Canis lupus familiaris: one gene and its partners. The protein of the gene in region 4 purifies or fractionates together with the protein of the main gene of each other region. This does not show direct contact. Links are inferred from orthologs where the notes say so. Each region holds a gene or a part of one and is shown on either strand. Other genes may lie near its edges.

Region 1 (5,059 bases), on a different chromosome or scaffold from region 4:
ATTTAAAGTGGGAACTCATCTAAAAAAGGACAGAAGGCAACTTGGGGAGATTTCTATTTAAAACATGGGCAAATTCTGCTAGTAAACAATGGGCTGTAAAGGAAGAAGAAGGGCTTAAAAAATAATATTTTTGCATTCGATAACAACCTGCCTAGACATGGTCTGAAGATTGATTCAGTCATATGCATTTATTTTATATACTTCATCAATCCCAAGTACTAATGTAAGAGTCATTCAAGACAACACGTCTTGGAAGAAATGATTTGTTTGTGTAAAGGGCATATCAATGTATGGCCCTCTTGGAAATTTACAGAGCAGATGAAAAACCACTAGAGTGCTTTATAGAGTCCCTGCTGTATATCCATGTTGTGTTTAGCTTAATAGTGTTTGTAACCAAAAGATTTTTACAATAATGAGGAACAGGTGCCTGTCACCTGACCTTTTAGGCCTAATTTGCAATCCACAACCTGTCACATGAAAAAATAATTGAAAATCTCCTTCAGATATTTCAGTCTTTGCTAATTTAATGTAGCCTTTCTTAACCATCACTCAGCATACCATAGCTCATTCAGTCACAGGTTCCTATAGCTGGCAACAGACTTCTCTGCAGAAATAAACCAATACTCACTCGTTTTGTTGTTGTTCTTGTTTAAGATGCTGGGAGACAAAAGAACTACTTTTGTAGATTATCAACCAAAGAATATATTAATTTATTACAACAACTAAACAAAAGGCATTCCTTGTGAATACTTTTACATACAAAGAACTATTATTTATTACATATTTCAGCTTGTGGGAAAATGAGGAATGCATTGATTCTGGAAATAACTATTCAGACTTTTGAAAGTTCTTTAGGTCTTCTTTCTCTATCCCTTTTTTTCCCTTTCTCTCCCTCTTGCTCTCCCCACCCCCACCCCCACACAGATTTTTAAGGCACTAGTTAGTACTTTAGGAGGGAAATCCTTATCTGTTCTTATTTCACCCATCATTTGTACTCATTATTCAGAAAGGAATACAAAATTGAACAGTGATTGTTTCTCTTGTATAATCTTGTTACATGTAGCCATACTTAAATTTAACAATGCTTTGTATTTTATGGCTACTGTTTACATATTATGTATTACATATGACTGAACAGCTCTACATTTAAAATATTGTTTCCATTAGAAAAACTATGAAGTAATAAGTGTCAAATGGAGATGAAAAATAAACATGCCTGTTACATTTATAAAATGCAGAGTCACTTAAAATGTGCACAAATAGGATACGTATTTTGCTACTGTTACGTTTTACATAGTATACACTAGGTCTAAAGTGTATTTAACAATGTGCCTAACCAAGTTAATTAAAGTACTTATGTCTGGTGACTGTGTTAAACACTTGGAGAGGTAGTGAAAGATACAGCCAGTTACTTCTGCTAACTAAAGTTGAAATTATGCACTTATTATAACCTTTTCTAACAATGTGAGAAAAACAGAGTAAATATATTAAATTTGTTTCACAACAGATGCTTAGGTTGTTAATATTTAAGATGCCTATTCATGCTATTCCTGTCTGCACATTTGTCAAAAATGTAAGCTTGAATGCTAATGTTTGCCAGCAGACTGGAGCAGCCAGTATATGAATGTACTACTGTTCCACTAAAATAATATGCAATAGAAATAAAGGACTGCTGCTAAATCATAGCATTAGTACCCCACAGCCGATTAAAGGTTTTTAGAGCAAACACCTCAAACCTTGGCTTTTTCCAGCCTTAAAGTACGGTTGTTGTTGTTGTTGTTGTTTGCTTTTGCAGCTACGTTTTACTATAGAATAAATCTTACATTCCTGACACCTCAGAAAAATCCACTTTAGATAGGGTGTAAATTTCAATAAAGTTTCAATCGCACGCGTTACTCCCTTAGTAAGTCGATTTTAGGGACTGCTGAGGACAAAACCTGACACCTACCAGTCGCCTTTCACTTGTTTCTTACCCCTCCTCTGTTCCTCTTGGAAAAGTCAGGTCTCCTGGCCTCCAAGGATGCAAGCAGGGAACCCCAGCCAGTCCGGGTAGAACGGTTCTCTCCTGAGAATAGGACGTCTTTTTTTTTTTTTTTTTTTTTAATTTTCCCTGTCTCTGATACAACCACGTAGAGTCCAAGTCTTACAACAATTGCCTGGAAATCTGGAATGCCGCGGAGAAAGTTCGCCGAGGAAGGGCGCAGAGGTCAAAGCTGCCAACCAGGGCACTTTTACGAGGCGATCCTGTGGTTGACACTAGTACGTGAGACTTGCAACGCCCCAGAGGAGGTCGGGGCCAAGATCTCCAGCAAAAGCCCTGAGATCCTCTCCTCCTTCTGGGGGGTCATCCCAAGAGTCACGCCCGGTGCATGTCCCCGGTGGGCGCGTGTGGCTCCCCGCACCTGCCACCTGCCACCTGCCTGCTTCGTCCCCCTTACGGTGGTTGCCCAAACCCACGCGCCGCCGCCCCGGGAGCCTCCGCAGGGAAGCGCCCGGAGAAGGCCGCCACGCTCGGGTCGGGACCGCAGGAGGGAGACACGGTGCGGACCCTGAGGCCGCACCTGCGATGTGTCAGCCCCGCTCAGAGGGCAGCGCCTCTTCCTGCCTTCCAGCCCTCCTTCAAACCTGCAGTCGCTCCGGGAGCCCCTGCGGGCCCACCTCACTACCTCCGGCGGGGACTCCAAGGCGGAGTGCCGCGGCTTTCAAAATCCCGGCTCCAACTTGAGCGCCCGGCGCCGAGCGTCCCCGGGATGGAGAAGTTGCCACCAACTTCCTAGGCCCCTCTCGGCCGCCGCTCCCAGGCAGCCGCGCGGGCGGGGGGCGGAGGAGGAAGGAGAAGGACCGGGGAAGGATGCTGAGCTCACTTGCGATCGGCGGGGACCGTCCCCGCTCCCCCAGCCTACTCTGCCGGGCACCTCTCTGCCAACCCAGCTCCGGGGCGCACGGAGAGGCTTCCTCTCCCTTTTCCCGTCGGCCTCCTTCGCTCTTTGCGGCTCCCCCTTTTCTCTCCGAAGAGCGGTCATACGGAGGACCTGAGGGAGTTTGTCCAGCCTGGGTCTGTCGGGCAGGTGTGTCAGGGTGCCCACACCCTGAGAGGGAATGAATGGCATCTCCGAGCCCCCCGTCCCGGGTGCTCTCCCACGCTCTCCCCGCCCGCCCCTCCGGGGTCCGGCCGCGCACGCGAGAAGGGAAGGGGCTCGGGGGACCCCGGCCGCCAGACGTCGGCGGGAGGGCACCGCGCAGCCCGGCAAGGGGCGCCGGGGGTGGGCGCCACCGAGAAGTTTGGATCGATTCCGAAAACAGAGAGACAGAGATTCGAGAGCAAGAATACGGGGCGCGGGGGGGGGGGGGGTGGAAAGGGAGGCAAAGGAGCAGCACTCACTCAGGCATGGGCGCTGGGGGCGGCGGTGGCTGTCGAGTGCGGGCCCGCGACCCGGAGCAGCTCCCCGGGCGGGCGCGCCGGCGTCGGACTTCCGAGGCGGCGGCTTCTGCCTCCTGTGCCGCCGCCGCCGGAGCTGCGGCTGCCGCGGAAGTTAATTGCAACTTGACTTCAAGTTGTCTTCTTTCCCCATCCGAAGTGGGCGTTTAAAGGGGAGAGCGAGACGAGGAGCGAGCTGGCGAGCGCGCGGGGCCGAGGGAAGGAAGGGGGAGGGAGGGGATGTTAACGGGGGGGGGGGGGGGGGGGGGGGGGGGGGGGGGGGGGGGGGGAAGGGGCCGGCGGGAGCTGCTCTCGGCTCGGCGGCCGCCGCGCCCGCAGTCTGGAGGCGCACCGGAGCGGCCGGGGCGCCCCCCGCGGGAGCCCGCAGCCCCCCGGGGCGCGCATCCAGCCGCGGCTGCTCCGGCCCCGCGCGCCGCGCCCCGGGGCTCGGCGGACCCCGCGCCGCCGCCGCTCCCGAGCTGGTGCGAGCGGGCTGGCCGGCGGGGCGGCGAGGGCCCGGCCCGCCTCCCCAGCGCCCGCCCCGGCTTCTCCCCCTGGCGGCGGAGGAGCCTCGGCGGCCGCCGGCTGCACGGAGCGCTGGAGCCCGAGCCGAGCCGAGCCCGAGCCCGAGCCGCCGCCGCCGCCGCCGCCGCCGCCGCCGCCGCCAACGCCGCGCTCGGCTCCCAGGCTCCCTCCCCGCGCGCCGGCCGGGGTGTGGGGGGCGGCGGGCCGGAGGGACGAGGGCGGGCGAGAGGCGCGCGCCGGGATTGGCGCCGAAGACCGGACCCTCAGCCGCTGGGGGTAAGTGTGGGCGCCCGGGAGTGCGCGGAGGGGTGCGCGGCGCGGTTCTCGACGCCCGCCGACCCTGCCCCCTCACCTCTCCCGGGCCCCCACCACGCGCACCCCTCCTCTTGCCGCCTGCGGCTTCCTCTTGTTGTTCGTTGTTTGGCTGAGCTTTTTTTTGGGGGGGGGGGGGAGAAGCGGGCGATTGCAGTGTGTGTGCCAGGGGAGGAGGAAGTCAGGTGAGCGGGCCCTACGCACCCCCCACCCCCAAACCCAGCCCGCGTGGGGTGTATCGCTCCCCACTAGGGGCATGTGGGCCAGTTTTTTTTTTTTTCTCTCGTTCATGTTCGGTGGAGACGATCTCTCCTTCGGGGGCCTCCTCCCCTCTCAGTCTGCACGGTCCATCGCCCTCCACCCTGGCCCCGCCCCTCTCTGCACCCCATCCAGGAGTGCTGCACCCCAACTGAGGAGCACGTGGTGGAAGGAGAAGGCGGGGTTGCTCTTGCAGACCCCAACCCCGCGCCCCTGCCCGGTTGTTTAAGCAGTAGCCTTCTGTCGGCCGCTTCTTTAAAATCCGCAGGGAAAAGACCCCTAAACTGAGGTCCAGTTTCTCCAAGAAGCTGGAAGCAAAGGAGGAGGCAAGTGATGAGACTGTAGTGACAGGGGGGCTCGCGGAGAAGAGGGGCAAGGGAGCCTTTCCAGAAGGTGAATGAAACTTCAAAAACCTCTACAACGGCAGAGTGACTTGGAGGTTCAGGACCCCAGGCTGAGGAGAAAAGGAGAACTCCATCAACTTTGCCCCTCTCATCCAGCCATCCTCCACCCCCCCCACCCCCACCCCCACCCCCACCCCCACCC
Region 2 (4,452 bases), on a different chromosome or scaffold from region 4:
AAAGCCTTCTGAAAGGTAAAGCCAGCTGGAGATGCACATAGAGCTGTCTCAGTCTTTTTAGCAGAAATCATCAGCCAAAATGAAAAGAAAGCGCTGAGGGGGTCCAAGGTTCAGCCCGCAGGCAGGGGTGAGCTGTAGGTTAATGAGATGGTGTCCCCAGCAGGAGAGTATCACAGCAGGCCTGCACTGTTCTGAACACTGGCGGGCCATTAGCTCAGGGAGGTGAAAGCCTATCAAATACACAGAAACTAACTCCTGGGGACATGGGTCTAAGACCTGGAAACAAGAAGAGATTTTATTTTTTCTACACGTCCACCAACTCAAAGGTAACAGAGAAGTCACTGGAAGACTGTCTGGGGAAGCAGTAAATCTCTGGCAGAGCAGTACATTTGCAAACTTCAGTGGTTCCAGAAACTGCACACTAAGCTCAGGGCGAACTTTGCTCTGGTTCTGCCACTATTTTCCCCTGAGGTCGCCTCATTGGGAGGCTGCATCTAGTGCCGTTTCTTCTGCCCTTGTTTATTTATTAAGCACCAGTTCCTCCAAGGAGGCAAAGTCCAATAGTACAAGAGTGCAGAGGGCCAAGGCAGCCTACCTTCTCGTTTATATGAACTGCCACGCCCACAAAGCCCAGGACCTCACCAGGAGCCACCTGTCTCCCAGCAGATTCCAGCCAGCTCTTTTTTTTTTTTTTACCCTGGGTTTGGTGCATCAACAAAAAGCACCAAATAAATAAAGTTTCATTACTGGCATAGGAGGACATGTCTAAAACTAGAAGGTATTGATAAACCCAATTCTTTTCCCTTTGGGGCACTGGGTCAGATGCCTGACGCATGTGCCCACCTACTGAATTCTATATTCTACTGTAGGTTGGACCAAATAGTGAAAGAGATTTCTTTCCCCGGTTCATCTGCTCTATTGAAACTGTCATCTACCTGAATAAGTAACTCCAATTAATGGACATGGGGAAGAAATTATCCACAAATTCAAGCTGTTAATGAATATATTTCACAGCATCTTGGGCTCCTCTCCACTAAGTAGCTTTTCCTTATAACAGAATGAGGACTTATCCACATTTCATTCTTTATTTTCTTTTCCTTGAGTTTATCAAGGCCTTCTCAAAACTGCAAGTGTTCACGGAGCATTCACCTGCACATACATCAAATGGATCTGGTAGCTATGTCTGAAGAAACAATACAATCCACAGCATCAGTTGGGACAGCTGTTCACGTCTGCAAAACAAGCTTGTCATGGATGTAGTGGGTGGCAAAGAGACCATCCACAGGGCCCCATCTGGTCCATCAATGTGTTTTAGTTGGCTAGCACCTATGTTTTACAAATCTAGAAATATTGCATTTTTTTTAATCCAGTTTCTTGAGACATTAGAAGCTTTGGCAAAACTGGGCCCCTATTCCCAAATAGTAACAACTGCTAGACCTCTCCGACTTACCCCCATCCCACCATTGCCCCTGGCTTTCTTTCCCCAGCACACTTCCCTCATTTATTCGGCCCACCTAAACTCAGTGGGCAGTGAGTCATTTGAATAATGTCTGTTCTAAAGAATTAATCTTGGAACAATGACTCCCTTTTATGGTCCAGACACATATTATTTCTCACCTCAGTAATCTTCTCATGACATACACATGGTTCTTCCATCTTCCTCACACCCTTGCCCATCCCATCATCTCTGGCCCTCTGTGGGCCTCATTTCCCACCTCTGCATACCTCTTCTCGCACAAACAACAGACCCCTGCAAACAGTCACCAGCCAAGCACATAACCTCCCACAAGGTCTCTCACCGGGTCCAGCATGAAGCAGTTGACGCCATTCACCATAGCCAGGACCAACATGGTGGCACTGCCGTACAGGGCATAGCCAGCAGCTACCAGGTTCCTGCCTGGCTGCAAAGCATCCTTCTCAGAAGGCTCATCAGTTGAATTCTGGGACAAAGAAAGAAAACAAAACAACATGCTTTTGTTTGGGTTTCTCTGGGGTTTCTTTTTTTCCAGTTCAGTCATCAGCAAGATGCATTGTCAAGGTACTCTCCTAATGCAACAGGGCATCTTCCCAGAGGGGCCTTTCTCCACATATCAGTAATACCCTGATTACATTACCATGAAGCCTTCCCTTCATACCACAGATTTCCTGCATCTGGATCCTTCTTTCCAATCAGGGCCCTCCTCCAATTTTACTAATTTGATATTCCCTCATTTCTCCATTATCACTTTCAAAAAAGAGTGTGCCTTCTTGCCAGCTCCCACTAATTTAATCTTATTACAGGCATCAATGTCTTCCACCTGCCCTACTCCATCCTTATTTAGACATATTAAGACTGGGCTGCAGGACTGCTAGTCTGGTAAGGAAATCAATTTTATGAGTTCCTGCCAGTTGAGGCACCCGCCTCAGTGGTCACTCAGGCATCCAAGCAATTCTCAGAAATGAAACTTCGAATATCTCTCCAGAGTCAATACAGGGTGGGGCAGTTGCTTTCCATTTTTTTGACCACACTCACAGCAAAAAAAAATACGTTTACACCACACACCAGTACCCACACACATGCACATGCACACATAACTACACAAATTCAACAAAGTAATACTTAACACTTAGAATATAATATGCACTCTAATCTTTCCTATTTTGTTTCATTAAAAACATGGCCCAGTAGGTCCTCTGACCATAGTTTGATATTAAGGAAGGGGATGCCTTAAGGAGATGGCTTCTAATCAATGGTTGATAACTGATAAGAAGATGATGATCTTCTTTATTAACACTTGATTGGCTTATTTGGTCCTCAAAACAACCTCAAATCTTTCAGCTAGAATAGTCTCTACTTGAATTTAAACAGAAATGAAAATGGGCAATTTCTGCCAATTTCATTTATTCCTTCCTCACCCAGAGATTCCAATAGCTAAAAATAAGTATGGGCATCTGTATCACAATGCTGGAGATGGAGGCCATCCCAGCAAAAACATTCCTGGTAATTTTTCCCTGTAACTTTTGAAAGTGTGGTTCAAAGTGATGATGATTCTGCATCAGAATCACCTGGGAGGCTTATTAGACAAGCATATTCTGGGGCTGCAGCCTAGGCTTACTAAGCCAGACTTTCTAAGGGGAGGGTGTTCCTGAGAATCTGCATTTTATTGTGCACCACATGTGACTCTTGCACCAAACTTTATGTAAAAGGAAGAATCATAAAGGCATTTCTCCCCTTCTCCCCCTCATCCCCATGCCTTGTGTTTAATAAATGGTTTTCACATAGGTGGTTAGTTGGTTGGTTGGTTGGTTGGGTTAGGTCAAGTTATTTGATTTAGTCTGGTTTGTGTTCATAGAATAGTGCATTGCATCTAAACACAGAATAAACATACTATCAAAAATTTGAGTTGTTTTCCCAAATTCCAAATTTTGCCAATACCCAACCTTAAAAAAAGAACCAACTTCCTTCAAAGCCAGTGAGGTTTCCAACTATCCTCTATCATAACTACTTAACCCTGCCAGTGCAATGAGAAATCAGATCAGCTGTATGAAGACAGATGAGTTAACTGGGAGCCAATAAAAGATTGGAATAATAACTTCTCCACTAAGAAAAATCCCTCAGAGATCTACCTCACCAAGAATCATCCATGCCTGCCTGTGCCAAAGGTGCAAGAGTAAATGACCTTTCCCAAAATGTTGTCACCTAGTAATTGTATTCTCTGACTTCATAGAATAAGAAATGGGAACATTGTCTATGACCCACACATTCAAAGAGAAAATAATGCTGTGGAATCGTGGACTAGGAGGAATTCTTTCCTAGCCTGATCTTTCCAATGCATGAATTCCTTCCTTCAAACCCCAGCAGGAAAGGCCTTTGCTCAAGGGGATCCGTCACATTCTCATACAGGTGCTCATGTACTGACCAATGCACATAAAGCCCTTGGCAAAACCAGAAAGCCCCTAGACCCTGCCTGTCTCTACCTATTCCAGGCCACAACCTACTGTAGGTATTGGTTTGCTCTATTCCCTACCACCTCATAAGGGGTATAGAGGAAGACACCATGGATTCTGGAGACTTGGAGTGGTAGATGAGAAAATCAGACAGACGTGGGAACAAGCTGTCCCCACCAGATGGTCTGCTTGGAAGGGCTCATGGAGCATTCAGAGAGTCCCCCATAACTCAGCCAGTATCGTTCACTTACTGTCACACTAGGCAACTAGCCTACAAAAAAATATGTAAGACAAGGTCCCTGCCCTCAAGGAGTTTATAATCGGCAGTGAACATGGGTTGGTTTTGCCTGGCCAGCATCCACCACCCTTCCGCTGATAACTGCACGTTAATCTCCTGTAGATACCGCCCACAGCTCTGGGGTGGGCAGGTGACCTCAGCCTGGCCAACCAAATCATTGCAGGCTCAGGCCATAGTGTTGGTGTGGGATGGCCCCGTGATGTAAGCCAAGCCAATCAGGCTCAGTG
Region 3 (4,947 bases), on a different chromosome or scaffold from region 4:
ACAGCTGCGGCGCGGCGCGGCGGAGCAGCTGGAGAGACCCGGATGTCGTCGGGCAGGAACTGCGGCGAGGGCCGGCCGGCGGGGGAGGGGCAGCCGCGGGTGACGTCACTGCCCTACCCAGCCTCTCTCGCCGCAGCCCCCTCGCGGCCGGGGCCCCAGCCGAGGCCGAAGGGAGCATCCGAATCCCGGGCCGGAACCGGGACCGGGACCGGGACCGGGACCTTCGTGCCCCCGGCCCTGGGGGCCGGGCCGGGTGTGTGAGCGTCAGGAGCCCCGGCCATGGAGAGCTTCTCCGAAGCCGGCAGTCCGTGGAGCTAGAAGTCGGGAGCTCCCGCTAGGGCGTCGGCTCCTCCCGCCCCGGCGCTCCCACTGGTCTTAAATACACACCCCACTCCCCGCAAGGACGCGGCTCCCAGAGCCCGGAGCGCAGACCCCGTCCTTCCCCCTGCCTCGGGCGCAGTCGCGGCCTACTTGCCGCCGAGCTGCTGCGGCTTGAACGCGCTGCGGAGCCCAGGCCGCCGCCAAACCCCCTCCCCCAGGGCCCCTCCCCTCCGGAGCCGCCGTCGCGGGTGACCCCGGACTGCCCCTCGCAGGTGCCCCCGCCGCACACCTCTGGTCCCCAAGGGCAGCAACACCCTCCCGGCACCCACCCATGCGCGGGCGCCACTGATAACACGCACGGGGCATATGCTCTGAGTTTCTGGCAGGTTTTCCATCTGCAGCTCATCAGGCTCCACATCGTATTTATTTGCACATGTTAGACAGTCACGTGATTCTGTCACAGGGGACCTCCAACGACCTCCAGCAAGGTTTAAGGAACGCAAGATTTTTCTTGAGGATAATCAGAAACGTTATCAGCTGCTTCCATTAGAAGTTAGCAACTGAACCTAACTGCAGCTGCATATGCAGGCGGCCAAAATCCAGTTTAGCTAGCTGGACTACAGAAAACCGACCCACGCTGTTTGCAGACGCGGGGATAGAATGACAAACCCTAGGCGGCCAATGAATCAGAACTGGGAGCAGTACATCACCAGCACGAGCTCCCATTGGCTGGGGTGTCTTTTCCCTCTCTTGTCAGAAGCTTAACCTGTTCATGGGTTGGACCCATACCACGTTTGCTGGAAGAGAAGTTTAAAAGAAAAAGCCGTGTTTTAAAAAGATGCTCTTGTATAGACAAAGAAAAATAAAAAACCAAATAGTTAAGTGCAGGAGGCAAATACTTTAAAAAAAGAACACCTGAAAATATTAGTCAAATTGTGTTCTGGCCAATAAGAAGGTAAATTTGTGGGAGGCCTCTCCGTTTTATCTTAAGAACTCCCTGTAGCAATATATACCCTGTTACTTTGTATATCCTAAAAGCACTTTGTTGCCCCAACTCTTATATCAAAATCTATTTACTCTGTCACTCAGGGAACACTTAGCTGTTTTTGAAGCTGTGAAAGCCATCTCCAATTTTTTCTACATGACTTTTTTTGGATGATTCTTTTCCTTTCACATTTAGGCCTGAAACCTAACAACAAGCGAAAACGGTTTCACCAAAGAGTCACTGGCAGGCCAATTCTTCAAGGAACCCGAAAATCACTCTACCCAATGTTTATGGCATTACGATTTCTTAGAGGAAGACAGAGATGGATCTTTTCCAGGTATACAATGTGAAAATAAAATTCACTTATGCACTTGGTCCCGGTATCATCTGAGGACACATTTCCTAATTACTTTTCCGTACACTTGCCAAAAAGGGGGAAATTAGATCAAAGATCTTTGAAACTGTGCCGTATTGAAATCCTTAATACTTCAGACAAGTAACAGCATGATTAGCATGCTAGTGGACTCATTACAATTCTGAAATTGAAAAGCCCATGTGGCAACCATTATTTGAAGTGCCCCTGGAAAACAAATTTTCTTGTTCATAAAGCAGAGCCTGGGTAGCCAATGACAGTAGTGGACCATAGAGAACGTTAAAGGCCTTGCCTATCTTTCTGCTTCCTTCCTTTAGGCTTCCACATCTTTCTTCTCTCTGTTCTACACATGTAGGAGAATCTGGGTCAATTATAGCAGAAGAGGTAGAAAAATAGAAAACATGAGCATAAAGAGATTTTTAAGGAGGCTACAGAGTGTACCACAGATTGCTGATAAAGCTGTACCTTCCTACTATTTCTTATTTCTGGATACAGCTTGCAGGGACATTTTGGTATGAACTAGGAATCTCATGGGTTATAAGATAACCATGGAAAAGTTTGGAACAAAGATATCTTAATATTGTCTGAATAAATATGTTTGATATTATAATACCCCCTTCCTTATTATTATATTATATTGAACATTATGTTCCTGAAATACTATGCTATGGGCAAAACCCCACTATTTAGAAGGGAGGAAAGGACATTGGAAACAATAGGGTTAAAAGTTTTCTTTTTGTTTGAACTACAAGGTTTTGCGTGGGCCTCCTACAGGTATTTAGGGTGTTCTTAGTTTCTGTGAAACCTCAGTGAGAATATATTCCCATAATTGTATTTTAATAATTCTTACAGGTGTATTGTAAAACTATTCTACCCTGCTCTGCAAATCTGTTTACATTTCAGTTACCAAAGAGGAGGATTTTCTGAAAGATTGGCTTTCAAATTCTGAATTTAACTGTGTGCCATTAGCCCAGTAATCGAAAGGCATGGGGTGAGGATGGGGGCTGAGGTGAGGAATCAGAAGCTCTGGTTAGCAATACTCTCTCCTCTGTTCTTCCACAGTCACAACTTAAAGTGAAGGTTACTTTCTGCCTCTCTCTGTGTCTCTCATGAATAAATAAATAAAATAAAATCTTTTAAAAGGGCAGGGGCACCTGGGTGGCTCAGTGGTTGAGTGTCTGCCTTTGGCTTAAGCCAGTGATTCTGGGTCCTGGGATGAGTATTGCATCAGGCTCCCTGCAGGGAGCCTGCTTCTCCCTCTGCCTATATCTCTGCCTCTGTGTGTGTGTGTGTGTGTGTGATGAATAAATAAAATGTTAAAGAAAAAAAAAGTGAAGGTTACATTCCTTGTTCCCAGATTACTATTCTGAATCCATCCAGGAGAATAACTTATGAGACAGCCTGGCTTGGGCCCCTCAAAATTAAAGATTGAATATGTAAGTGACCCCCTGAGGGGAGTATGTGAGAATTCTCTTCACTTGAGCCATCCATCCTTTCACACTAAAGTCAGTCACTACTCAAGAGTCACCAAGCCAAGCAGAACAGAATTTCAACTCTTCCTTCCTCCTCCACCTTCACTACCTGTTGCACGTGTCTTTCTCACAAATATCCTCTTCGTATGTCCTCCTCTTCTCTCTTTTCTCCTTATCACTTTTCTCCCTTTCTTCTGTTCTTTCTTAATCCCCTTTGCCCTTTTTTTCCCCATTCTTCTCTTCTCACTTTTTCTTAGCTTAGTCCAAATTATAACCTCTGCTACCCACTTTCTCCTGAAGCAGTACATATTAGTGGATAGTGCCCCTAAACTAATTTTATGAGTGGGGGGTATGCCCCCCACCCTAGCCCTCTTTTCTCCATCCTCCCCCCTCCCCCTCCCCCCACCATATAGGGCCATGAAAACCTTAAGTCTTGAAAGCACTGTCACAGAATGAAAAGGATTAGAGAATCCAGTCCTATGTGACATCACTGAGGCAGCTCCATTAGGGTGAAGCAGATGGGAGCCAGCAGTCTCATGTTACCTCTGTGACTTCTCCCCTCCTGGGCCTTTTAAGGAGAAATGTGGGTGACCATGAACACCACAGGCCAAATCCTAGGGAGTCTTTACAGTAGGCTCTCACCTACAAGAGAACTGTATATGGGGGCATCTAGGTGGCTCAATCTGCCATTGGCTCAGGTCATGATCGCCTCTCTCTCTCTCTCTCTCTCTCTGTGTGTCTCTTATGAATAAATAAATATAATCTTAAAAAGAGAGAGAGAGAGAACTATAAATGGCCAGAGCCCCACAACATTGGTGCAGATCCTTTTGGACAAATTCATTTTTTCTACAGATAGTTATTATATGCCAGACTAGTAGTAGATAAGGACATGAAGGGGCAAAAGGATCTGATATTACAATCAGGGTAAAGACAAAGAAGCAACAAATAAGGAAATTAAAATTGGGATCAGTGCTATGAAGGCAATAGATTGGGGACATGACTTAAAATGGATGTTCAGAGAAGACCTTTGTAAGAAGATAGCATTTGAATTCAAGGGTGAGGAGGAGTCAACTTTGCAAAGAATCACGGAAGAGCTTTCTTGGCAGAGGGATCAGCATAGGCTAAGGGCCTGATGTGAGATAGGCTTTGGCAGAAAGGTTGTCTACAGACCAAGAAGTTCAGTAAGCTCAATGTATATGTCTGATAAAGTCAGTCAAGTTTAAATTTTCATCCTGTGATATTTGGGATACTTAATCCAATTTAAGATTAGGAAACCATCTTGAACAGAAGGGCATGATCCATGCCAAATAACTTCATGAATTGGCCCAAAAAGCAAAGGAGCTTGAAAAATCGAAATTAAAAATCAAAGGACCTTGATTCAATTATTGAAAATAAGATGCATTTTACAACCCCAGAGAGATATCCCCTCAGACAATCCAACAGCAGCTAGAAATAAGTAAAAAGAATCATTTTTCTCCCAACATAGATAGCTACTCTTAGTGGATGAAGACTAGCAAAAATTTGGATTTCTTAAGAACAATTTTTCTGGGTGTTTACTGTCTACCATGGGCATTAGAGAAAATGTCAAAATGAAACCATATCTTTGAAAGCTGCAACACATTTTGCATCCTTAATGATGGTGGCCTGGTTGAAAACCAGTGCTGAAATGATCATCATATTAAAGGCTTTTTTTCTGTATCTGCCTCTGCAGTTTTCGAAGCACTGTCACTTAGGCCCAACTAGTTTAATCCTCACAGCATCCTTTATGGGTAGGCAAGGTAAGAACTGTTCTAATC
Region 4 (4,983 bases):
TCTCCTTCTGCATCCTCCGGGCCAATACCCGGGCACAGGCACACACCCAAATATGGGACTCCGTCCTCACATGCAAGCCTGGTCCTTGGGTTCTGCCCCTGCTCCACCCCCTCCCCGCTCAGCCCCTCTGAAACTCAAGGGCAGGGCAGGAGGGGCTCCCTTGACCCCCCGATCCTTCGGGCTGTGGCCGCAGGGGCCGGATCGGTGGCCTCGCTCGCCAGTAGGAGTTGGGGCCCACCCTGTGCCAGGCACACAGTTTCCATCTTCCACTCCTGAACGGGTGCCAGGCCTGGGGCCCTGTGTGGGGAGACTGGGGAAGGGTGAGTCACTTGGGGGGCACCCACCTTCTGTGCCCAACTTCTGCAACTCGTCTTCATCACCGCCCAACCCCCGCAGCTGCTCCCACTGGCTGGCACAGGCCGCTGCCAGCACATCTCTAACCGCCCGCACGGCTTGGGAGGATTTTGTGAAGCTGAGCTCCCTCGGGGGGCCGGGCCCAGGGCCGCACCCCTCCTCCAGGGCCAGCCTCAATGCCAGGAGCTCCTGTGCCAGAGAAATGACTAGTGAGGCGTTGCTGGTTCCAGCTCCTTGGGCTGCGGGGAGAGCCCTGTGGGACGATGGCACAGCCCCGGAGCCCAGGCAGCCCCGCAAGCCCTCCCCACTCCTTGCCTGACCCCCTCCCGTGCCCTCTCTGGCCCAGGAGAGCTGTACTTACCTGCAGGAAGCTGACCGAGTCGGCCTCGGGGACCTGACTGAGGTTGTGGCGGGCCCGGCTCAGCCTACTGCGCTGTTCCTCCTGGCGCCGCAGGTCACCCTGGGAGCGGCCCAGCATGGTGGCCTCCCCCTCCTCGATGAAGCCCAGCACCTCTGTCTGGAAGCCCTGCAGGATGGCCGCAGCCTCGGTGAACAGTCGGCTCACCTTCTCCCGCTCTGCCAAGGCTGCGCTCTGCTCGGGACGACACAAGGGACAAGGATGAGGGCAAGAGCAGTGTGATTCTGGCCCCATCCTTCCCACCCTGCCCTCTTGCGGGGACAGAGGGACCAGCCCTGGCTGTCCTGGATCTATGTGCCAGGTCAGAGGAGCCGCTCATGCTCAGCAGGACCAGACAGTGCCCTGCGCACAGGCCTCTTTGGAGAGGACCATAGCATGCTACAAGCTCATTGCCAGGAGCCTGTTGCAGGACTGCACGGGGACGGGGTCAGCGTGGGGTCCGACCTTGATGAGGGCCACCGTGCGCCGGGACAGTGCAATGCCAGCGCCCAGCTCATCCATGCGATCCTCCACGGCACTCAGGACTTTGGATTGGTCCGCCTGTGGGTGATACTCTTAATCAGCATGGGGCCTGCAGTGGCCACAGCCCTACTCTGGGCTACCAGGCTTCACCAAGGGGGAGAAGAGGGATGACCCGGGAGTGGTATGTGTGCACAGGTGGGACTGGGAGTGGCCATGACATCCCATAATATGCCAGAGGTGCTTGGAGCCCAGGAGGGTGCCATTCCCAAATGTCTGGGGAGAGCACAGGCTGGGCAGGTTTGTGGGCTCTGTGCCTCGCCTCTCTGACCAATGGGCAAGCACAGGGCCATCCCTGCTCCTCAATGTTGCTGAACTCGCTGGAGAACTTCCTTCAGTGAGGACGAGGCAGAGAGAGTGGGGTAGGTGCTGCACAGAGGGCATTCAGCTGTCTCGGGGATCACTGTCCCCCAAGAGTCTGTATCCCCATTCCAGGCCTGAAAAATGGGGATTCCGGGCAAATCCCCTGGGTCTTATGAGTCACTGCTCCAGGCAGGAGAGACGGAAAATCCCAAGGCCAGAGGCGCCAAGACCGGGCTGGAGGCCAAAGGAAACTGGGGGTGGAGGTGGTTGACGGCCTGAGAGCACATGCTCCCTCCACGGCCCCGGAACAGCTGGACAAGAGCGGTCTGTATGCTAGGTCCACCCTCTGCCACACTCCTGTCGCCTGCCACACCCATCTAAACCCGATGCCTCAGCCCAGGCCAAATGCGACCTGGGACCGCCAAGAAGCCTGCCCAGCTCAAGGCAGCGGCGAGGCCAGAATCAGCAGGCGGGGACCCCCGCGGGCCCGGACCCCCGCGGTCCTGACTGCTCCCTGTCGCTGGACCGGGCTTCAGGCCCCTGCTTGCCCTTCCAGTCCTTCTTGCGTTCCCTCTGGGCTCCTCCAACCCCCATTCCCAACTCGAGCGGAACGTCCCACAGCGAGTGGATGGATGGGTGACATTGTCAGTATTGGAAAGGACGCCAAAGGGCCAGGTTAGCGAGCATTAGGGCCCTACCAGGGAAGGGCAGGGGGCTGGATCCATGGCTCCCCCCACCCCCGCTCGGCCCTCGCCCGCCCTGGCACCCCCCACCCCGCCCCGGCTGCCTGCGCCCACCTCCTGGAGCGCGCGCTCCTGCTCCAGCGGCACGAGTTCGTGGCCCCGGTGCTCCTGGGCGGCGCAGGCCTCGCACAGGCACACGCGCTCGGCGCGGCAGTAGCGCTCGAGCGGCCGCAGGTGGCGCGGGCACAGGCTCTCCTCCAGCCGGCGCAGCGGCGGCACCAGGCGGTGTCCGCGCAGCGCGGGGCTGCGGTCGTGCGGGCCCAGGTGCGCGGGGCAGAAGGAGGCGAGGCAGGAGAGGCAGGACAGCGCGGCGGGCAGGGCGGCGCCCTCGGGGCACGCGTCGCAGCGCACCGGCTCTTCGCCGCCGGGCCAGGGCTCGGGCGCGCAGGGAGCCGAGGGCTCCGGGGCGCTGGGCGGCGCGCTGGGCGGCGTGGGCTCCGGGGCCGGGGCCGGGGCCGGGGCCGGGGCCGGGGCCGGGCCGGGCCCGGGCGCGGAGCCCGAGCCCTGGCGGAGCTGCAGCAGCTCGGACAGCGTGTGGTTCTTGCGGAGCTGCAGGCCGTCGGGGAAGGGCTCCTGGCACAGCGGGCAGCGGGCCGCGCCTCCGGGCCCGCCGGTGCCACCCGCGCCGCGGTGCGGCCAGAGCGCGCCCAGGCAGGCCAGGCAGAAGTTGTGGCCGCAGGGCAGCGTCACCGGCTCCCGGAGCGGCTCCAGGCAGATGGGGCAGCCGAAGGGCCCGCTGCCGTCCATAGCTCCGCGGCCGCCCGGGCGCCGCCTGCTCTGCTCCCGCCCAGGGAGGGCCCCGGCCCGCGCGCTGCGGCCCCGCCCCCGGGACCCGGGCCAAGGGTCCAGCCCCCTTCCGTCCCCCGCTCGGCCCGCCCCCGGGGCCCGGGACACCGGCCCCAGCCCAGGCTGCGCGCGCGGCCCCGGCCCCGTGTGACCCCCAGGGGCCCCTGGACGACCGTGCCTCCCGGTCCAAGGGGAGGGCGGCACACTGGGAGGGAGCCGGGGTGGGGGGGAGTGCACCCCTCCGGCACCCCTCATCTCCCCTCAAGGCCGCCCCGGGCTCCAGACCTCCCCGCCGCCCTTGTTTTTTTTTTTTTTTAATATTTTATTTATTTATTCATAGAGACACAGAGAGAGAGAAAGAGTCAGAGACACAAGCAGAGGGAGAAGCAGGTCTCCAGGTCTCCAGGTCCCGGGTCTCCAGGATCACACCCCGGGCTGAAGGCGGCGCTAAACCGCTGAGCCACCGGGGCTGCCCCCCGCCGCCCTTGTTAGCAAAGTTCCTGAGCTGTTGAAAATGAACCGCTGATGTGCGCTTGTTTTTGCCCCTTAGCGACTCTATTTACCCCTGTGGGGAACTCGGGCTTTTCTAAACTTGAAACGGGAAGTCGACGTCACCCTCCCAGTCCCTTGTCTGAGATAATTCAGTTTCCCTCCAGGACCCTGGGGCGCAGGCACTTGTGCCTGGGGCTTGAGGTATGGGCTCCCCCAGCGGAGGCATTTAAGGCTTGTCCAGCCATGCACTTAATAATGTTGTTTTAAAAAAAAATGGCAACAAAATAAAGTAGTATTGGCTTATAACCCAAAGTATAAAATAAACACCCGTGAGTGCATACTGATGTAAATAAATGAATGGGTAAATAAACAGAGGAGCACAGGCGAATCTCCCATTCAGAAGAATTCAAAATAACTGTTATACATACTCCAAGATGGCCTAGTTTCCTACTTCTTAAACGTGGGCTGTGCACAGTGACTTTCTTCCAAAGGGAGCTAAAGAATCACTTTATAGGGATGCCTGGGTGGCTCAGCAGTTGAGTGTTGTGTGCCAGGATTGAGTCCCACATTGGGCTCTGGGCGGGGAGCCTGCTTCTCCCTCTGCCTCTCTCTCTGTGTCTCTCATGAATAAATAAATAAAATCTTAAAGAAAAAAAAAGAATCACTTTATAGTGGTGAAGCCTGGCAAGCAGGACCTCAGCCAGGTGATCAAGGTCACTGTCAATAGTGATAAGTCATGTTGACACTAAGCACCCTGTATAGGATGGTCTTCCTCTCCAAAACCCATAGCCCAGTCTAATCATGATTAAAACATCACACAAATCCCAGTGGAGGGACAGTCTACAAAATACCTGGCCAATACTCCTCAAAACCTTCAAAAAAATGCCCCCCCCCCCACACAAATAGTAGGGGGTCAAGTCTGAGAAACTGTCCCAGCCATGAAGAGCCTCAGTAGATATGATGAGTAATGTTATATGTGTTCTGGATGCATTTCTGAGACAGAAAAGACATTAAGGAAAAACTAGTAGGGAGATTTGAATAAATTATGGACTGTAGTTAATGTAATGTATCAATACTGGCTCTTAATTGTGACAAATGCACCATAATTATGTAAGATGTTAACAAAAGAAGAAGTTAGGAGGGAGGTACCTGGGAACTCTGAGTTATCTTTGCAAATTTTTTGTAGATTTACAATTATTCTAAAATTAAAAGTTCCTTAAAAAAATGGTCCCCACCCCCAGACCTCCTGCTGGCAAGAGTCCAAAGAGGAAGGAATAAAAGAGTGAGGAGGGGTGTTCCATCCATAAGTGGGGCTTAACCTTTCTCATCACACCGGAGCTCCTCTTAAAGCCTGGTGCAGACTTTTCC

The links.
Region 1: the proteins of TRIM47 (region 4) and SATB1 purify together in Homo sapiens (affinity purification with mass spectrometry; 4 studies listed by BioGRID and IntAct, with this or other methods). This does not show direct contact. The link is inferred for Canis lupus familiaris from reciprocal best matches to the Homo sapiens genes TRIM47 and SATB1.
Region 2: the proteins of TRIM47 (region 4) and FBP1 purify together in Homo sapiens (affinity purification with western blotting; 3 studies listed by BioGRID). This does not show direct contact. The link is inferred for Canis lupus familiaris from reciprocal best matches to the Homo sapiens genes TRIM47 and FBP1.
Region 3: the proteins of TRIM47 (region 4) and PPM1A purify together in Homo sapiens (affinity purification with western blotting; 3 studies listed by BioGRID, with this or other methods). This does not show direct contact. The link is inferred for Canis lupus familiaris from reciprocal best matches to the Homo sapiens genes TRIM47 and PPM1A.

What each region holds. Positions count from the first base shown.
Region 1 is NC_049244.1:25,106,302-25,111,360, reverse strand, and holds the start of SATB1 (DNA-binding protein SATB1), read right to left. Parts: upstream 3,542-5,059; 5' UTR 3,383-3,541; intron 3,102-3,382; exon of another isoform or gene 1,974-3,101; intron 1-1,973. UniProt on the Homo sapiens protein: Crucial silencing factor contributing to the initiation of X inactivation mediated by Xist RNA that occurs during embryogenesis and in lymphoma.
Region 2 is NC_049222.1:72,702,682-72,707,133, reverse strand, and holds part of FBP1 (fructose-1,6-bisphosphatase 1), read right to left. Parts: intron 1,941-4,452; coding exon 1,800-1,940; intron 1-1,799. UniProt on the Homo sapiens protein: Catalyzes the hydrolysis of fructose 1,6-bisphosphate to fructose 6-phosphate in the presence of divalent cations, acting as a rate-limiting enzyme in gluconeogenesis. Plays a role in regulating glucose sensing and insulin secretion of pancreatic beta-cells.
Region 3 is NC_049229.1:35,616,825-35,621,771, reverse strand, and holds the start of PPM1A (protein phosphatase 1A), read right to left. Parts: upstream 3,531-4,947; 5' UTR 3,460-3,530; coding exon 3,261-3,459; intron 2,815-3,260; exon of another isoform or gene 1,502-2,814; intron 1-1,501. UniProt on the Homo sapiens protein: Enzyme with a broad specificity. Negatively regulates TGF-beta signaling through dephosphorylating SMAD2 and SMAD3, resulting in their dissociation from SMAD4, nuclear export of the SMADs and termination of the TGF-beta-mediated signaling.
Region 4 is NC_049230.1:5,604,953-5,609,935, reverse strand, and holds the start of TRIM47 (E3 ubiquitin-protein ligase TRIM47), read right to left. Parts: upstream 3,098-4,983; 5' UTR 3,085-3,097; coding exon 2,392-3,084; intron 1,313-2,391; coding exon 1,217-1,312; intron 947-1,216; coding exon 716-946; intron 544-715; coding exon 345-543; intron 1-344. UniProt on the Homo sapiens protein: E3 ubiquitin-protein ligase that mediates the ubiquitination and proteasomal degradation of CYLD.